Neodiprion lecontei: one gene and its partner. The protein of the gene in region 1 interacts with the protein of each later gene in a pairwise test. Links are inferred from orthologs where the notes say so. Each region holds a gene or a part of one and is shown on either strand. Other genes may lie near its edges.

Evidence for each region.
Region 2: the proteins of histone acetyltransferase KAT2A (region 1) and transcriptional adapter 2-alpha interact in a two-hybrid assay, tested with the Drosophila melanogaster proteins (2 studies listed by BioGRID). The link is inferred for Neodiprion lecontei from reciprocal best matches to the Drosophila melanogaster genes Gcn5 and Ada2a.

Annotation. Positions count from the first base shown.
Region 1 is NC_060263.1:36,087,236-36,098,463, reverse strand, and holds histone acetyltransferase KAT2A, read left to right. Parts: upstream 1-1,782; 5' UTR 1,783-1,877; intron 1,878-2,490; 5' UTR 2,491-2,517; coding exon 2,518-3,488; intron 3,489-3,602; coding exon 3,603-4,163; intron 4,164-4,241; coding exon 4,242-4,966; intron 4,967-5,038; coding exon 5,039-5,232; 3' UTR 5,233-6,100; downstream 6,101-11,228. Other genes in the region: protein shuttle craft, read right to left, coding at 86-1,474, 6,783-6,801; actin-5C, read left to right, coding at 8,061-8,186, 8,313-8,691, 9,018-9,253, 9,317-9,706.
Region 2 is NC_060263.1:41,256,185-41,265,721, reverse strand, and holds transcriptional adapter 2-alpha, read right to left. Parts: upstream 5,347-9,537; 5' UTR 5,254-5,346; coding exon 5,190-5,253; intron 4,994-5,189; coding exon 3,615-4,993; 3' UTR 2,881-3,614; downstream 1-2,880. UniProt on the Drosophila melanogaster protein: Component of the histone acetyltransferase (HAT) complex ATAC; predominantly involved in acetylation of histone H4, including at Lys-6 (H4K5ac) and Lys-13 (H4K12ac).

The DNA.
Region 1 (11,228 bases):
GAAAAAAATGAGTGTAAGTAATTTCCAGATATGACACACTGTAAAATAAATGTCATCCCAAAAGTAAGGGTGATTGATCTCTTACCTTTCTCCGATCTTTTGTTACTCAATCGCTTCATGTTACTTCCTCCTTTGACATCTTCGTCATTCTTGTATCGCCAATTTTCAATCTCTTTATCCCTGATACCTTTTGAATTATCCTTATCCTTAGATTTATCCTTGTCTCTGCTCCGTTCCCCTCTTTCCTCTCTTTCATAATTATTTTTGTATCCATTGTAATCTGCATAGCTAGTTTTCTTCTCCCTGATCCCAGATTCATACTTATCACTGTATCTGTCTCTTTTATCACGATACCGTTCTCCACGATCTTCATTAAAATATCTTCTAACACTCTTACCACCCGTTTGACTGTACTTCATCTCAGAATTGTGACTAGAATAATTTTGATCGCCGTAATACTTGGCTGAACCACCAGATTGTCGGGTATTATCATGTCTAGAGGTTTTATAGTGCTTATTAACAGTCCCCTCCACAGATTGAGTTGCGTCTTCTTCACCGTGATATGAACCGTTTTCAAAATTTTCTCGAACACTGGAATTACCTGTCCATTTTCTTCTATCGCTATCCTTATCGCTCGTATAATTAGAACTATTATCCGAATAATGTCTGGTGTTAGAATACCTATCATTTTGGAATCTGCGATTCTTCGGATTCTGATTCCTGACAGAATTCTTAAACAAATTGGTATTTTGATATTGAGCATCCTGAGTATCCCTCTGCTTATAACTATCGCCTTTTTTATTTGCATCATATTTCCTATCCTTCTTATCTCGCTTATTTCTAATATCCACATGGTCAACTTTCGGCATGTTCGAATCGTGGAAGGTCAAATTTCCCGAATGCTGAGTTGAGGAATCATAATTTTCCAGCATAATTCTGCCATTATTTTCACTACTACTGGCAGACGAGTTTGTCCCAGCTGTTTGCAGCGCCTTCAAGGAGCTAGGTATAAACTCACCAGCGGTTGCATGCAGGTTTGAATTCTCAACGACACTGGGATCAATCGTTTGCTGAGGGACAAACGGTAATTTACCGTGGTAATTCTTTTTCTTAAGTTTGTCATTCGGGTTCCCACTTTTGCATTTGAATGGCGGAAGATTAAGCTGCGATCTATTGTTCTCAAAGAAAGGCTGTGGCCTTGCATACTGAGTACCACCAGCCATTTGCGGATCCTGATAGGCATTGGCTAAGTGCTGTTGACCCAGGTTCGAGATACTCGGCTGCACGTTGGAGCCATTCTCAGGATAATAGCTCCAGTTGCGCGCCACGTTCCCCTGGTCCGAATACCGATGAAAATTTGGGTCCTCAGGCCCATAATAAGACCCATCCCAGCTTGCCATGGCAATGCCGCAATGGCAAAGGGACTTCCCCGGCTTCTGACTCCACCAGAGGGTGGCTTGCCTCCAACGACTTTCTGGAAATGAGTTGAAGGATTGCAAACTTCAAGAGTGGGGCAATATGGTGCAATGATCTGGTTATAAGCTGATCTCAAACGAACTAACCAAACTCCATAGTTTAACCAATATCTTTTAACGGAGTAAATTTACGCACATACCTGATAAAATGCGTCGTCGACTTGTGCGCGGGTTAGTTAAGGGTGTTTGGGGTATTTCAATCCGACGACTAGCGCAGCGTTGCGAATATTGATAAGGAAAGTAAGGTGGAATATTTTTACTTATTTCTTACCAGCGTTAAATCAAAATTAAAAGTAGGCAAACGCTCCGTGCGAATCACTTGAGAACGTGGCGTTCGGACGAACTAAAATCACGTAACAAATGGAGGCGCAGCGTTACAATAATATGTGAACGGAAGCTTTGGTAAATAAACATATTACAATTCATTATTGTTCTTGTCGTAAATTTAGACCTATTTATCATACATGTTTAATTATCCGCACTTGGAATACCCTCGACGTGGTGATGATAAATGATTAAATAATCCCTACTTGAGAGTATTTTTTTTCTCAGCTGTACGCACAACCCACAGCCATCGATATTTGCGCGAAAAATTAAAACTGTCAAAAAGGACATTGCGCCAACGATAATTATACTCATCGGGTATCTCACGAATGAAAATCTCGGTTATTTCGTAACGATTTTGCGTCGCATTGACTTCAATTTCAAATTCACATCACGTACTTTGTCTCAATGTTTTGTCAACAATTTACCCGGCCTGCGTAACCTTGAATTTACCCTTCTCGCAAAGTTCAAAATTCAATTTTCCTTCAATGAGTAGAGTCGATAACCAGCTATTTCTTGGTAAAAAATCAGTAATTGATTTTTAATTCATAGATACGATAATTTCTGATTTGAATATATAATCCAAAGTAATACACATTTTAATTCCCACTGATAATTCATTATACAAATCTGGGAAATCAAGAAACATGCTATTGAACATAAACATTGTCATAAATTTGATATTTTTCAGGTGTAGTAATTTTAGAAAATCATTTCAATGGATGAAACTACCAGAACCATGTCAGGTATGTCGTCTGAGGATCGAGTGCAGTCCGTGACAAGTACATCTCAAAACCTCGTGAGCAGTAACAGCGCAGAGTCAAGTTCGCCACGAGGTACGGACCAAGCTAGTCGCCAGAACAACTTGCAGAGGATTCAGCAACGCAAACATCAAGTTTTTAATTGGCCCCAGTTAAAAAAGCTATTGAAACTGGCAAATTACAGCTCATGCCAAGCCGACGAGTGCAAATGCAACGGATGGAAGAACGCTCAACCATTGACTAAGTGTCCAAAGAATGACATGCAGCAACCAGCTGCTAACTTTTCCGATCCATGTCGAAGCTGCACCCATGTGCTTGAAAAGCATATCACACATCTGCAATCCCAAAGCGATGACGAAATTAACAAACTACTCGGCATGGTCATCGATGTTGATAACATTTTCATGGGAATGCACAGGGAGGAGGATCCGGATACAAAAAAAGTCTATTACTATTTATTTAAACTTTTGCGAAAATGTATCCTGTCTATGACTAAACCGACAATAGAGGGACCTCTGGGTCAGCCGCCTTTTGAGAGGCCTAGCATAGCCAAGGCTATAACTAATTTTGTGCTCTACAAATTTGGCCATTTATCCCAACGCGAATGGCAAGCGATGTACGATTTAGCCAAGATGTTTTTGCACTGTTTAAATCATTGGAATTTCGAGACTCCAAGTGCTAGAAGAACTGCTGGTAACGCCGAAGAAGCACCCGCATATAAAATAAACTACACACGCTGGCTTGTCTTTTGTCATGTACCAGCTTTCTGCGATTCTTTACCACATTACGATACTACACTCGTATTTGGAAGAACTTTACTTCAAGCTGTATTCAAATCAGTCTGCAGACAACTCATGGACAAATGTCATAGCGAACGAGACAGAATGTCACCTGAAAAGAGAGTTCTAGTCCTGACGCACTTTCCCAAGTATGTGTAACGTTTTTCCTTAAATCTTAGATTTATAACAGACAGAAACTTTCGATTGTACTAATTCCAAATGTATATTCCAAATCACTACATGCCACATTTTCTGATCCACAGGTTTTTATCTATGCTAGAAGTAGAAATATACTCTGATGGCTCTCCTATATGGGATCCAGAGTTCAAACAAGTACCGCCATCACATTTACAAGCTGCCTTAGAATCAAAGGGGAATCACTCACGACGGCCTGGTGAATTCGAGAAAATCAGTGTAGCGCACAATGACAAAGACAATTATACGACAATAAATATAAGCCCAGGGCTAAAAAAACTTCCTGAAAAACGATCTCACTCAGAGGGAAGGCCTGATTTGAAAAGACGTAAAAATGAAGAAGCTTTCGAAGACTTGCCGGAAGAAACTGTAGCAGAAATTGTAGCGACGATAAATGATCCTAACTACATGTGCGGACCTGACGCAGTCTTCCCACCAAATGTGCCGAGAGACGAAACTGCAAAAATTGAGGAAAGTCGAAAGATTATAGAGTTCCATGTCATTGGAAACAGCCTGACACAACCAGTATCGAAGCAAACTATGCTCTGGTTGATAGGATTACACAACGTTTTCAGTCACCAATTACCCAGAATGCCAAAAGAATATATATCTCAACTAGTCTTCGATCCGTGAGTAATTCTTATCTCTTTTACAAAACTTTCAAGTTTCATTCTTACTTCTGGTTCTCTTTTAATATCTTTAAACAGAAAACATAAAACTTTGGCGCTTATCAAAGATGGTAGGCCTATTGGTGGAATTTGTTTCCGAATGTTTGCAACCCAAGGATTTACGGAAATCGTATTTTGCGCTGTGACAAGTCAAGAGCAAGTCAAAGGATACGGTACACACTTGATGAACATGCTCAAGGATTATCATATAAAAAACAATATACTGCACTTTTTAACGTTTGCTGATGAATTTGCGATCGGGTACTTCAAGAAGCAGGGTTTTAGCAAGGACATAAAAATGTCTAGACCCATGTACCAAGGGTATATCAAAGACTACGAAGGTGCTACTCTGATGCACTGTGAACTTAACGCTAAAATTGTGTACACAGAATTCACTGCAGTTATAAGAAAACAGAAAGAAATAATCAAAAAATTGATATATCAAAGGCAACAAGAAATACAAAAGGTGCATCCTGGCCTGACCTGCTTCAAAGAGGGTGTGCGAGGAATTCCTGTAGAATCTATCCCAGGAATACGGGAAACTGGATGGAAAAGTTATGCTCAAACAAGAACGAGAGGCGTCGCGAAAGGAACGCAGGGACCAGAGCCAATGGAGGCTTGTTTGGATGTGACAGATTCATTATACAACGCCTTAAAAAGTGTTTTGAATACTGTGAAAAATAATAGCACTGCATGGCCGTTCCTAAAGCCTGTTGATAAAAATGATGTCCCTGATTATTATGATCACATCAAATATCCAATGGGTAAATATGTTACATATGCATCGATTATTGTAATAAAGATAATGATGATTAATGATTTTGTCATATTTTCAGACTTAAAAACTATGAGCGACCGTCTTAAGGCCAGATATTATGTAACTCGGCGATTGTTTATAGCTGATATGACACGAATATTTACAAATTGTCGATTGTACAACAGCCCGGATACGGAATATTATAGATGTGCCAATGCGTTGGAAAAATATTTTCAAACAAGAATGAAGGAAATAGGTCTTTGGGATAAATAATGATGACTTCATCAAGTTTAGAGTGATTGTTCCCCATTTATTCTACAGCATCGTATTAATTATGCAGTGCAAACTCATTGATATTCACCTAACTGATGGCTGAGTACTGATTTTATGACGCGTTGTGCTTTATGCACTAAACACTTTTATTATTTATTATGCTAAACTATGAGTTACCCGATGTATGCTATTGCGTACTATGATACTTAGGAGAAAATCGTTTTCAAATGAATACGGTTTCGAAAATCTGCGTTAATTAATTTGTCAATGACTTGTGTAGGTAAATATTTCGGGTTTCAAAAGGATGTAAAACATATGTTTAATCTGAGTTGTTCTTAGAGCTAGGGGCCTCACAAAGTAAAGAACTACGAAAATGTGATTCCACAATTTGCCGTCTGTATATATTATCATAAATTGGAGAATAATTTGAATTAAGATTAGCTACTGATTAGTTCAATTTCGATTTAAGCAATGTTGGTCAGGTGCTGCAAGTGAATAATCCATGGATATACATACTTATGTATATGTAGTATACATACAATATATGTTTAAATAAAGATAACTGACTTTTGTAAATATATTTCTATCGATTAAATGACAATTTGGAAATTCCTTAAAAGACACATTTACGGCAGGAGAGAGAAATTCATATAATCAGTCCCAGGAATTTTCGTATGAATCGATGTACAACTCAGGTTTTGAATACTATTGCCGAAAAAATTGACTGAGTAAAACATTCAAGAATTTACTTGGGCACGGTATTTTCAACCATTGCATTGGAGTTCAACTACATTGCTTCATGGTCTAATTAATGTAACTAGCCAAATAGGTAATTAATTAATGTAATGCAGTGATTATAATAATGCCTCTCTTCATGGTCAGTCTCTGGAACACTGCTTTTCTCAAGTTCACGATAGCAGTCATGATATGTTGCTTGAATAAAACTTTCCTACTGCTCGTGATTCATTCATTATTTAGACGAAATAAACGAATTTCTTTTATTATTATCGCAAATTTGTATTCGAGTAATAGATATAAAAAGAAAGTCAAATTATTCTATTGTGGTCAGCAATGGGTTCCAATTACTTTGAGAAAGTTTCTTATCTCTTTCTGGTAGGAAGATTTATAATACTCTTGCATTTTTTGCGTTTCTGAAACAGATTCTGAACAGATGTTACAAGTCTTGGATATTTTTTTTTTCCAGTATTCGAAAAAAAATTTTATAACTTTCTACAAAAAACTGAAAACTAGTTTTGGAGTTTTAAAAAGTTTATGCAGAAAAATTGTCAGATCACTTTGTGCAAATATGCAGGTTTTCGCGTATCTATAACATAAATCGAACCGGATGTTTGAAGAAGATATATAATGCAGATGTATCTTCCTGGCACCGGGGAATACCCAACTTAATTTTATACTTTTATAACAATAGTGATTTTTCGAGACAATAGTATCGTGTTTTATCAACAAAGCTCATGCTGTTATCATTGTTTCACAGCAATGGGAAACTCTGCCACGCAACCGATGAAACTGAGTTCTATCTACATACTTACCATATTTTAACAAGCACATATGTCACAGAAATAGCAATTATCAGCATTGTCAAATGACGTTAGTCACTAAATTAGTACTGATATGACTTCTGATACAATTATAGCAGGTAGAACAGTTAACGAGATGGTTGGAGGGCGTCAGATGTTATCATGAACTTGAAATCAGAAAGAACTTTACATACCAGAATTTATGAAACGTAATCGTATTTAGTAACTCAGTATTGAAACTGACACCAATTGTTCTCTTTGAAATTTCACCTCCTTCATAAGCTGACAATAGCAATAAGTCTACCAGATTCAAGGTCATTATCGCGAATAGTCATCAATCAGCTTGCCCATCTTCTACATGTGGTGCAATATCTGTAAACAGTGAATGAAAACAGAATAAAGAATTTTTTTCAGTTTAGTACAGATTGATATGATCAATTTGTAGAAGATAATGATAAATGGATGAAAAATAATAGCAATAACTTTGTTACATTGAAACGCTTTATCTCAAATATGTGAAGTGAATCCGATAAATTTCTCTTTACACCCAGTAGGTGAAGCAGGGAAAGAAAATATTCTGCATGCTCTGGTTGCTTCAGGCACTGTGCGTTCAATCAGTGCGATATGGTAAAGTGCAATTAACTAATTGGTGCATATACTATTTTGTACTTTTTTAAAGATAGTCGTTGGGATCCCTATCAATTTTGTGTCACATCTACTATTGCATCATTACGAAAATATGGTAGTAAGACAGTCAAATTTAATAGTGTTTATAATTATTTTCTAGTTGTACAGCAGCTTCAGCAACGATAATTCATTTTTTCAAATAATTCATCAATCAACTGCAACTTAACTTACAGCTTTTGACTACTAAGCAATTTTTCAAATAACAATCATACAATTGTACACCAGTTGCAGTGAACAAAACAGAAATGAATCTTTTTACACAATTTAATTCGCGCTTATGGAAAATAATTGTTCGTCACATAAGTATGCTGAAAATGATGATCCTGATATTTGGAGCATACAAGAATCAAGAGACAGGATGAGACCTGATTACAGCAACAGCATTTGAGCAGGAGAAGGGAGATCGTATAAAACTCCTTTCTCAACTGCAATTCCGCACTCTACGAGAGACTAACATACCACAAGGATCGTGTACTGTCTAGTCAGTTGGTTTCATTAGTCCCAAACAAACGCGATGTAAGTTGAGAAGTATGTTTTTTGACTTTTTAACTGACATTCCCAGAGTCTCACTAAAACGTTATCTATATATTCTAGTGTTTTAAAATGTGTGACGACGATGTGGCTGCACTTGTTGTCGACAATGGATCAGGCATGTGCAAAGCAGGATTCGCCGGAGATGATGCTCCAAGGGCTGTTTTTCCATCGATCGTTGGAAAACCCCGATACCAGGTAACATTGGTCTGCCAATACTTCACAGTAGTATTCAAATTCAAATAGTCTACATCATATCAAATGATTCGACTGTAATGTTGCACATTTTTGTCTATTCATGAACAACTATTACAATATTTCCAGGGTATAATGGTCGGTATGGGACAAAAAGATAGTTACGTCGGAGATGAGGCTCAAAGTAAGAGAGGGGTACTCACAGTAAGATATCCTATCGAACATGGTATTGTTACAAATTGGGATGATATGGAAAAAATTTGGCATCATACATTCTACAACGAACTCAGAATCGCCCCGGAAGAACATCCTGTACTTCTCACAGAAGCCCCATTAAATCCGAAAACAAATCGCGAAAAAATGACACAGATCATGTTCGAAACTTTCAACTCACCAGCCATGTACGTCGCTATCCAAGCTGTCCTATCTCTGTACGCGTCAGGAAGGACCACAGGCATAGTGTTGGATAGCGGAGATGGTGTATCGCATACGGTCCCTATTTACGAGGGTAAGAAGAAGTGTTTAGTCATAGTTACATAAACCAAATTACAATTTCAACATTTTTTTCAATGTCATTGTAATTCTTAACTTTCTAAATCAGCATGTACAGTAATTTAAAATTATCTTCTATAACGTTTAGATTCTATTATAAGATGTAATCCAATGTGATCGTTGCCATTATAAAAGGAAGGTAGTATCAAGAGCAATAATAGTTGGTGTAGCGCCATTGGCTTAGAGTTATAATGTCGATCACGAGTAATGCTAGTTCTTACATCTTAATATTAGTTTGTGTCGATATAAATGTTGCAATGAATAACTTGCGTTGTAATACAGGATATGCTCTGCCACATGCAATTTTACGTTTGGACTTGGCTGGGCGCGATCTAACCGATTATCTGATGAAAATTTTGACCGAAAGAGGATATTCCTTTACAACAACTGCTGAGAGGGAAATCGTGAGGGATATTAAGGAGAAACTTTGCTACATAGCTCTAGACTTTCAGCAGGAAATGGCAACAGCTGCTGGGTCCAGTGCTTTAGAAAAAAGTTACGAACTGCCCGACGGACAGGTAAGATAACGCCAGTATAGAAACTGCTGAAATAGAACACTGTTTTGGAACTCTATTTTCCAGGTCATAACAATCGGTAACGAACGTTTCCGTTGCCCGGAAGCAATGTTCCAACCAAGTTTCTTAGGGATGGAGGCATGTGGTATTCATGAAACTACGTATAATTCCATTATGAAATGTGACGTTGATATTCGTAAAGATCTCTATGCCAATTCTGTACTGTCTGGTGGCACAACAATGTATCCTGGAATCGCGGACAGAATGCAGAAGGAGATCACTGCTCTGGCTCCGTCGACTATGAAAATAAAGATAATTGCACCACCAGAAAGAAAGTATTCGGTATGGATCGGAGGATCTATTCTTGCAAGCTTGAGTACCTTCCAACAAATGTGGATATCTAAACAGGAATATGATGAATCAGGTGCATCTATTGTACATCGAAAATGTTTTTAAGGCTCAATTCTTCTTGTTTCGTTATCAATTGTACAGTGAAGTTAGCAATGTGTACCTAATAAAAATGTATATTATGTAAGAAAACCCAATTTCGAATGCAGCAGCGAATGACATTCTTGTATGAAAAATTCAATTGTTTATCCTGTTGCACATTGTTAATATCACTTTTTACTTGTGAAGAGGAAATATTTTCTTCATTAACGTAAGAAAACCTTGATTACCTTAACAAGGATTAGTTTTCGCAATTTTTATGTTAATCGACAGTTTGATTTATAACATCAGTAAAGTTTAATCTACTACAGGGAATCAAAAATTTGCTGCAATATTTTTTATTACTGAAATTTACACACCATATATTGTTACACGTCAACACCTCAGGTTATTATATTCATTGATTTCGATTTTATACAGCATATGAAAATTTGAACCAATAAACAATATGATAAAAAAAATAAAAATTTTATAAATTTATGCACAAGACCCGAATAATTTTTTTTTATGTATGGCTTTACTCTTTCATCATAGTTTACTCTATTTACATAACGTATAGATTGTATTTTATATTGAAACTAAATTAAAACTTGTTTTCTGATTAGTACATTATCATACTAACATAATTAACCACACCAGATAATCTGTATAGATTTTTTTAGATGTCAAGTTGTATGCTACGAATTTAACCCCCTCCCTTTAGTCAGGTCATGTTTTCTGTAGAACAGTAATGACCGATTTATTTGAGAATATTAAATAATTATATAGTCGAAATACTGATTCCAGTTTTTGTATGTTTTGAATACACGTCTTGATCATTGTTATAGTCATATAAGTTATGATTTTTGGTAGTTCAATGGTCCATTGTCCAATTGTCCTGTTAATCCAGTGTGAAAATTATAATCAGTTACATTAACACAGTTTGAGTCATTTAAACTTAGTTTGAGCCCAGCATTTCGATTTTTAACAATAAAAATTGCAAATCTTATTACTTGGGAAAAAAGTGCTTTAAAAGAATATGAGAGGTAAGACTTACAAGATAAAATTTGAACATGAATATTTCAGTTTTGTCGTCTTCGACTGACATTGCCAGAGGTAACAGTTGCAATCCCTCCTCATGATGTACCACTTTGAAATATTTTAATTATTGAAGACAACAAAAACAACCAACGTTATTAGAACTTGTATCATCCAATCTTATCACGTGTAAGAATATGGAATTATTGTTAAAAAATCCTCTGTAATGTTGATTTCATGATACTGGTTTATGATTTGGATGACTGTCGTTGTTTGCAGTAACTGGGAATTGAGTTTCATCATGAGAAATTATTATAAACATTACGTCTTAAAAGAATTTAAAGGGTGCGATAAATATTAAATTTTGTATTTTAATTAGTTACGACCATTTCTAACCACTAATCATTACATTATTTTCTCACGTGTATAGTATGCTAATACTATATAGTTTCATTTGTATCTTTTATACATGTGTTAAAGTTAAAAAAAAAAAAAAATGATACTGTAATAATTG
Region 2 (9,537 bases), about 5.2 Mb from region 1:
GGCTTTCCACTCAACCAGCTGCCACGCGCGCCATTTTGAATATTTTCTGATAAAAAAATTAGCATATATACCTACTTGAATATGTGTACATTCATATAAAAAAAGTGATAGTACAAATGCAATAGAATCACAGAAAAAAAGATCCGCGTTTTTTTTCGTTCTCTAATGTACCCACCGCCCTTAAAACAAGGAATGAGATAAAATAAAATTGGACAAGGAATGAGATAAAATAAAATTAAAGATAGAGATAACAGGTAGAGTAGAATTGAGGGAAATATGAAAAAAAAAACGAAAATGTGAGCTGTCACGAAAAACAATGAAAATTAAGTCGGTCCCGCCAAGAGGGAAGAGAGAGAGAGAGAGGGGGGGGGGGGGGGGATCAAATCGCTTCATTGTTACCATGATTATGAAGCGAAGCAATCTATAATCATCGTGCAGTATGTGTTACGTATAATTACAATGAATGGCAAAGTACTTTTGACTGCCATTGTCCACTGGTTGCTATTTTACGGTAACAACAGTTCAGTACTGACAAGTCGAGTGCCACTATTTAATACGATGCGAAACTGCGTTTCGTAAGCGAGGCAGCCACGAGAAGTCGTAAATCATATGGGTTTATGGCCCAATAAAATGATAAAGTAATAATGCCGTGAAGTACCGACTTCATCAAAACTGAATAATTATCACGTGAAAATGTGTTACAAAATCTCCTCATGGACAGAGATTATCCAGTGCCATAATCAGACATCGTTTCTGTCGTTATTGCCCGCACATCGTGCGGCGGCCAAGGCCCTCCAAATACTGCTGAACGCACGTCTCATATCCACTGGAGAAGTGCCCGTAGTAACACTGACCACGAATCTAACGAAGGCTACGAATTGATTATTGAGTCCATTGATATTGACATGCTCAACGGTTGTCACGTTCAAACCACTGCAGAACTTCCTTTACCCCCCATGTGGTTAAATTTGCTGTTGGAGGTTTAGTATCCAAATACCCGGTTTCGGGAAGAAAGAAAGAAAATAATAGACATCGAGCAGGGTACTATTTAACCAAGTGTGACTGATGATAACTTGATTGGTTGCAACGAAATCTCCCTTGTAAAACTAACCACAGAACTCTAAAACCCCAAATACGGGTAAGAAATAATGATGTCATTCGCATTACAACCCGCAAAAAAAAAACTGATGGACTGCGACTCCTGCCCCACACGATAATCATATGATCAAAAGGTGACAAAACTTGAACAATTAAAACGTTATTTCTAGGAAATTGATAGTTCATTCACAAGTGCAGGTATTCGCATTGTGAATTTGTATTGAGAGGCGAACTTGATAAGTGACGCGAAGAGGCACCCATTAGAGCACGTCGTGAAGAATCTTCGTCGCCTTCGAACGGTAACCAAGCGACCAAGCTATCATCATTGATCTTAATCGCAAATTATTTTGCAAAACCATGCTCGGAATGCAGACTGCCTTGCCGGCTGCCAGGTGAAAACCGGTGCTGGGCCGGTAGATAATCAGGCCGGAGGTGAAGTACACCGTACACCATACGTGCGTGTTGGATTCTGACCCCACTTTTAAACGGCAACGCGTAGTCGAGAGGGTCAGTGTACAACAGGCTGGGTAGACGTCGTTGGGCCGTTAAGGGTAATTATTGAGGGTATCGGACGCCATAGCGTTGTGGTTCCCTTCACAGAGAATAAAAATCCATACACGACATTTCGCAGAAACTAATGACAGCACAACCTTCATCCATGTCCATGATACGATAGAGATGGTCGTCTCTGTCGCATGTACAAGAATTTACAGTTATGCAGAATAAGAGCTGAAGAGGCTTAATAACTTTACACGAGATGTAACGCATGATTTTTCCAACAACGGAGAAGTCCGTAATGATATTATCTGCCGTTACATCACGCCAACTTACATCTTTCCTTCCAGAGCCCAAGAGCTGTTTACTCCGTAAAAGATAACGAAAAAAAGATGTTTCGGGTATGCAGAATTATAGGACGTTACTTTCGTCCGAAGCAGAACTACGTCTACTATTCGGAGTTAGTAGTTTCGCGATGTTGTGTTCAATAACCACCGCAATGATACGTTCTCAAAGTACCCTCAGAGTAGGGATACTGTCAATTATTTTGACATCCATGTTATCGTGCCAAGGAACGACTTTGGGCTGGGTTAAAAACGAGATGGAAGTTATGCGTGTTTTCAATATTTATAAACAGAGTACATTATAGGAATGAAAGTTGCATCTAGCATTTGTTCAACAATCAATATACAATCAATCGATGATCTCAGAGAACGTATGCCGCGATTTGAGATGGCCTGGTAAGTGGAATATAATTAATTGGGTGCGACGTAAAATGTCCGTCGGATTTGTAAGCAAACTGCATAGTTAGTACTGTAGTGATCTTTTGGTCTGAATGTCTTCCAGAATAGTTCTCATTTCGTCATCTTCCAAACGTCCTTCGAGACTTGGTATCAATGCTTTGGCCTCCTCAGGTGTTTCAGGGCAAAGATTCGCCAATGAAGCCAGTTCAAATTTATGGAGCTTCTTCTGCATCAGTAAACTGTAAAAACAATTAAACGCGTATTAGTAAACCAAATTGCACAGAATGTGAAACGAAATGAATCTCTTCTACTACTGCAATGAGCTCAATCTGCTGCACATACTTTCGAACCGCAGCGATAGTCTCCTTATTCCTGAACTTGCGAAATCGATTAGTGTACGTCAAACTCTTCATGAAAACCTCGGAGAACTCTTGTTCCTCTTCTGCGGATTCGTTCTGTGCCTTCCTGTGTTCCAGCAGCATGTAAACCTCAGATATCAACAGCGTCTCAGCATTTTCAAACTCTGTCAAATAACGAGTTATAGTATTGTAATAGATGTACGAAAAAAAAAATTATTTCGAGTTCCTCCTGGAAACAAATGCAGAGAGGTTTCTCTAATTGCAAGCTCATTCTGTGAAAAACGCGATCAAGTATTTCTTCAAAATTCGTTTCTTGCGTGTATTTTTCTTCTGCCAGCACGTAAAAAGTTTTTCACAGTAGGTTGAAATAGAATTAAATAATGACGCGAGGAATAAGGACGAATAAATGTTATTGTATGAACGTTCCATTCGTCTTCAAACCTTTCAGAATGTAAGAAGACGTGGATAAACAAATTCATCAGTTATTGGTTTGTTTTTGAATTTTAGTTTGGCATGGGTTGTTCGTCTGAATTAGTAGAATGGACTTTTTATTTTTAATGCCAACTCTATAGATGGTAAATGATTGAAATTTGTGAAATTTCAATCCTTTTTGTCGGTCATGTTAAAAATAACAGAATAGGAATACTGGAGGGTTCATTGAGAGTAAAATTGGCATAAATTCACAAAAATAGTAACATTTCTATTCGTATATAAAAGAACAAGCTAACAAAGGACTTAGACTTGAGTTTGTACATTGTAATAAATAATGAAGTCTTAGCCTATTTTAACCAACACATAATCATAAAAATTAATTCACTTGTCAAATGGGCTGTCACAAAGTGTTAATATCACAATGACATTGAAATGTCGAAAAATATTCACATATAACTGCGACGAATCAATTGACCAGTGACGTGTCTTACTGAGCAGGTTTATTGATGTATCCTTCTTCTGCCAAGAAATCATATATTTTTCGCGTCTTGTTAACATCAATCTTCAGAAGAACTCTGGCTTGAGCAAGCCTCAAGCTCCCACATTTTTTATTCTCTGTTATCAACAGGTTTTTGAAGTCAAAGTAGCTTTCAGGTATAACACGAGCATTTGAGCAAAGATCCCGTTCAGCCGGAGTAAGGCGGTCGTATCCAGGAAGCCCTTGAATAATAAGAGGCGGCGGTGCTTTACGTTGGGGAACATTTGGTGCAACATGAGGTGTAGTCTTTACAATGCAGCCAGGTAATACAGTCTGCCAGCAATATTCTGTATTACTCATATACTGCTTTCTCTCTTTTTCATGTTCCATGCGCAGCTTGGCCAACTTTTGAAACATCGGTACTGAGTGAAACCTTGTGATACCATTTCGGCGAAATTCAAATAATCTTCTAATGTAATTTCTTAGTTCACCAGCGTGGTGAAGACCCTCGATTATGTAATCAAAATCCATCCCACTGACAAGTTGCATGAATGTTAGTAATCTTTCGATCAAAGGTCTGGTAAGAGTCGATTCGTACCTTTGAAGCCATGATATGGTTCTACGAAACGAAATAAGCCCATGATTACGTACAATTTTTCTACGCCTTTGCCTTTCTTTGAGTCTGTGATTGTAGGCATTTACTATTGCAACTTGGAGGTTTTTTCCAAGCTCCAAATGCTTGTCGGCAGGACAGAATTCTTCATATTTTAAATCTGAGACTAACAATTCAGCATAATTGTCAAAATTTACTTCGAAATCTGATCTAGCTGCATTGTATCCGGCCAATAATTTGTAGTTTATCGTATTGCTGGCAAATCTTGGCGGGTCTTCAAGATCTTGAAGTTTGTAAAGGTACGGTACAGCCTCGGAGCCAAACAAGCTGACCTCGGTTTCTTTTATCTTCGGTAATCCAGGCAAATTTTGATTGTCTATGAAATTGTGCAGGTAATGCTTCCTGCACTCATCCGGCGACTTGTTCTGCAATCTCCTCGATATATCGTCCCAATTGCCGAATCCACACTCTTGCAAGACATCCAAAAGTTCGAGTTCCTCTTTGGCGGACCAATTGGAACCGGGTATAAGTGGGAATTCGTTTTTTATTATAATGTAATTGTGGTTATTTTTATGTTCCTCAATTTCGGCACCGTTTGAAAAACAGTTGGGACATATCTCTATGTTCAAACACTCGGCGCACTTTATGTATGGCTCGTACAGTGTCGATTTACACACACAACACGCGGGGTCAGAAGTAAGGATTTCTTCCTTCACGACTGATACCTCGAGATCGACGTCGTGTTCCGACTCATTTGCAAAACTCGACGGACAGTCTGAAAGTAAGAAAACCGTTACTCGAGACCTTTGTTCAAGGATGACTGAATTAGTTGCTTAAAACGGTATTTTTTTTCCATATACCATTCAATGCTTTCAAGCCCCATCGTTTTAGGTTATGTCTGCGACGTGAAATTGTTCGCGAAATTATAAAAGTAGCCGCTAATTTCAAAGAAAATTTTACAATTTTCTCACCTTTTGGAAACTGGAGGTCTGCCGCATCCTCTTCAGTCATATCCGTTACATTTGTATTAGCCATTTCTTATGTTTTTTTGAGAAATAACAACGAACTACTTTGCACGGGTAACGCTGTTTACACACAATGCACAATTGCGTGACCGTCGATAAGCGTTGGAAGGAGTTGACTGATCTTCTCACAGATAGCAGCACTTAACGAAAAGCGTGTTTTTTGCCTGTCAAAACGTTACTTCGTCCATCAGATTATCGACGAAGTTAGCAACGAATTCGTCAGGCAGATTCTACCGTACCGATGGAATTCAACAGTCGAATTGAATCGAATATTTGAATATCGCATAATTTGAATTACATTCGAATGGTGCGAAGATTCGAATTGTTTGAAAGATTTAAGTATTCGGAATATTCACATTATGGGACTCCAATTATTCACATACCCTCAACAAAACTTCTTGGCAAGTGTCTGACAACAATGGTGTCTATGAAATTACCAGTATATCTATGAAGGAAGAAAAAAATTATTAATGAAATTTCATAACTTTTCCGAAATCAACAATTTTTCCACGAATAAAGAATCTTATACAGCGATTTGGTTTCGCGCCTTGATAATGAAACTGGAACAAAGGCAGGCGAAGCCTTGACCAAAATGCATCGAAATTATTATTCTGCGTAGGTCGATGTTCATGTATAATAGTCGGACATATTATACATGCAAACGAGTATTTTTTAGCATAATGAATATCTGAGATGAACGGATATAAAATTATGCTTACCACAAGAATTTACGGTGTATAGTATACCTCATAGCTCGCATCGGTAATATTTTGGCAAATTTTGGTTCCAGTTCAGCGAAAGATTTTCTTTCTTAAATTCCATGGGACGCAATGTATTCCTTATAATATATATTTATCCATGAAACGCGTAAAGTCTATGCAACGGTTGTACGGCCTATAAATACTACATAAAATGTAGAATGGCCTGAGGTCACGCTGTGTGTCGACAGAATATTCGATAAAATGATTCGGCAACTGAATAATTAATTCCAGCATGCTAAGCCAATTACCATATTCCAATTTGTTCGTGAAACTCGAATCAAGCTCGCACGAACTCAATAAATTGCTGTCTAATATACTCACATTGTACGATTGTACAATGCAAACATTCTAGTGCAGAATTATTTCAGAGGAATTTTCGAAAGCGGCATAGTAGTTTCTAATCTTGTGGTGCGAAAATTGTCGGTTGGATTTAAAAGTTTGATGTAAAATATCGTAGAACGGCTGAATAGTGGGATGTACAGTTATGCAATAATTATTCGTAAAAAATTTTACAACAGCCAGAAAATTTTATTGCCGAAATGAAATAAACATGCCGGCGATTTCAGTTTTGCAATAAAACAGTTGCGAATACGCAACCACCATCATCCAGCAACATTTCACGTCAAATAAAATGATACAAAGGATATTTTAACCAAGATTTAGAGTCGTAACTGCGTGTCTGAAAACTGCATTTATCCATCAAAATTCGCCATGTGTCTAGCAAAAACTTCTTTTAGTTCGGTTATAATCTTTACTCGATATTCATCTCATGTGAAAAAAACAAAGAGTCGATTATAACGTGATCCAGGTTTTGCGGATGCAGCATTCGTACATCGTGTCGTGGACATACATATTCTTACGATTAGACGTCCTACAAGTATGCCGTACGTGCCTCGAAATTCGAGGTTGTATATTTTATAATTGTAGTTGCCTTTGTGCTTGCCTCGAATGTCAGATAACGTATCTGCAGGGAAAGAATTCGGTAGCACGAGTGACAATGTCGAGAATTAAGACTTCATTTATAGGGTGATCAAAAGGAGCAGAAAAATGATGCGGTTAAATAATCTTCAAATCCGACCGATTCGCCACATCCACCTCAGGTGCGTGAATCACACGAATCTCCAAAAAAATATCTTATTCCAGCTGCATGGCATGTTTTTAATAAATATTGCGTTTTCAAGTGTGCCGAAACCAAAAATGACTTCCATTTCCCTCCAACGCGTACAATATTTTTGCTTGCAAAATAAAAGATGTTCGCGTAAAGAAAGCATAACAATAACGAAAAAACCGCCATTTCATTGCAATGAACTAAAGAATATTTCTCATGAAATTAAACAAACAATTTTTTTATCAAATGTACTCAACATTCCGTGTTCATACATTTTGCTTACGAAACCATTTCTTCTTCTCTTTGATACACCTCCGAACGAGCTTCCGCTTTCCATTTTCTATTTCCCTGCTTGTATTTATTCTTGAGTCTCACTCTGATACATATTAAATGAAAGTAAGAAATCACTTTTGCATAAGATTTTTGGAATCAAGAACAGGATACCAGATTTCGAGTTGAACGGAATATTCACTCCGAATGAAACTACAAACACGAGTTGGAGAAAAAACCTGACGTGATGGAACCTTTTGAGTATTTTTCCCGGTTTCAGTGAGTGAAAATCAATAAGAAATGAATAAAGAATCTGTGCAGTTTTTTGGTTTCAGACCTATGTTACACTTCGGATTCACTACCTTTACGACTTGACGACTCTTCTCTTCTTTACACTGTTATACGCATCGAATTCTTCGTGTCATAAAATACAGGCTCCAAATTGGATTGAATCAAACGGTAAACATCCAGGGTAACTCCTTGCAAGCCTGAAGCCGAGCAATATTAAAACTTGTTTACTCGCACTTGACAGATCGCAGATTGACAAACTGTCAAAGTCAATCGCTGTTACAAGACTCCGAAATCCGTATTTAGTATTCCACTACTAGTGAATATTGAGAATCGAAGCTGTAGATAAAATTTTGTTCAACAGTTGGCATGAGTGAAAAACTTGGTGTACCAAAAACGCAGTCGTCAAAACCCTTCATCATTTCTCTTACGAATCCATCGATAAAATACAGCGTCTTATTCATCCTCATGAAGGTAAACGCGAAACGTTATCTTCTCGACATCGATATGTAAACAACAGAACTGTCGTAACGTCGGATTTCATCGTGGATTCTGAGTGAGAACCAGACGTAAATTAAACGACGGACTTACCTCTCTAGCGCCTACATCGGCTCGTTCCATTGATCCGTTAGAATAATCAACGACCGAATCGTAGAGTGTAATAGAAAACTATGAACATTACGGCGTCGCCTGAGCAGCCGGATTTTTCCAACGCCCGAACTCTTCACTTTCACGAATTCAACGTCGGCGATAGCAAAACGGAAGGACGTCAGGTATTCGGCTTTGCTAGGAAAAATATGTTCGATACCGTCTACAAGCTGACGACGGTCGAAGGGTGAGCGCAGTTTAATTAACTAACTAAAACACGGATCACTCCATATTTTTATAGCTTTCAGGTTAGCTAGAATGATTCGTTTCGAATGAAAAACGAGTCGATTCGAATTCACTCTTATCGAAAATAGAATTGTGATTCTTGCTCTTCAATAATTCGGTTTAACATCGTCGTTCTAAAATATTTGACATTTGGACTTGCAGTTAACGATTCGTTAGCTTCGGGGGGGGGGGGGGGGGGTTACTGCTTGGATCTAAAATCATACCTATTTTTAGGATTTTTTTTAGAGGAAATGAAGACATTTAAAGCAATTTGAGTTTGAGGGCTTTATTATTTATAGTGTCAAAAACGTTTGAGAATTTTTTCATTGAAATTGCTAATAAAATAGCGACGTGACGCATATAAATAGCGAACGACCACGTTTTTAAGTGGGTGACGCAAATTCCTCGCTCAATTTTATCCGATCGATTTGAAATTTTCACACAATATTTAAAACTTGTCTATCGAATTTCAACGTCATGCCAAAATTTTTTTATGAAATTTGTTATAACAATATTTTGGTCGGAAGATGAAATTTTTTCTCTATCATCGTATATATTTGAAATATTTTTATTTTTTTTTATTATCATTTGGGATACGAGCTCAAACCCGAAAAGGTGTTTTGAATTGTAAATTTTTCTCTACATGCCAATACAAGTTGGACAGTGATGTCAGGAGATGCTCCACCGTAAAAGTCCTCGAGTTCGGAGTCGTTCGCTACTTATACGCGCCATGCCGCCATTTTGTTATTAATTTCAATGAAAAAATTCTGAAACGTTCTTGAAACTATAAATAATAAAGACCTCTGACTACAGTTCCTCTACGCGTTTTCATTTTCTTTAAAAAAAAAAAACTCCTAAAACGAGGTGTAATTTTAGACCGTCCAACCTGTATCCCCCTCGCAATGCACGAGCAGAACTTTTGTCGCATACATGCAGCAGCAGGCACAAAAGAGTTTCAGGCGTTCATGCCATGGTTCATGGTTACACGTGTAGC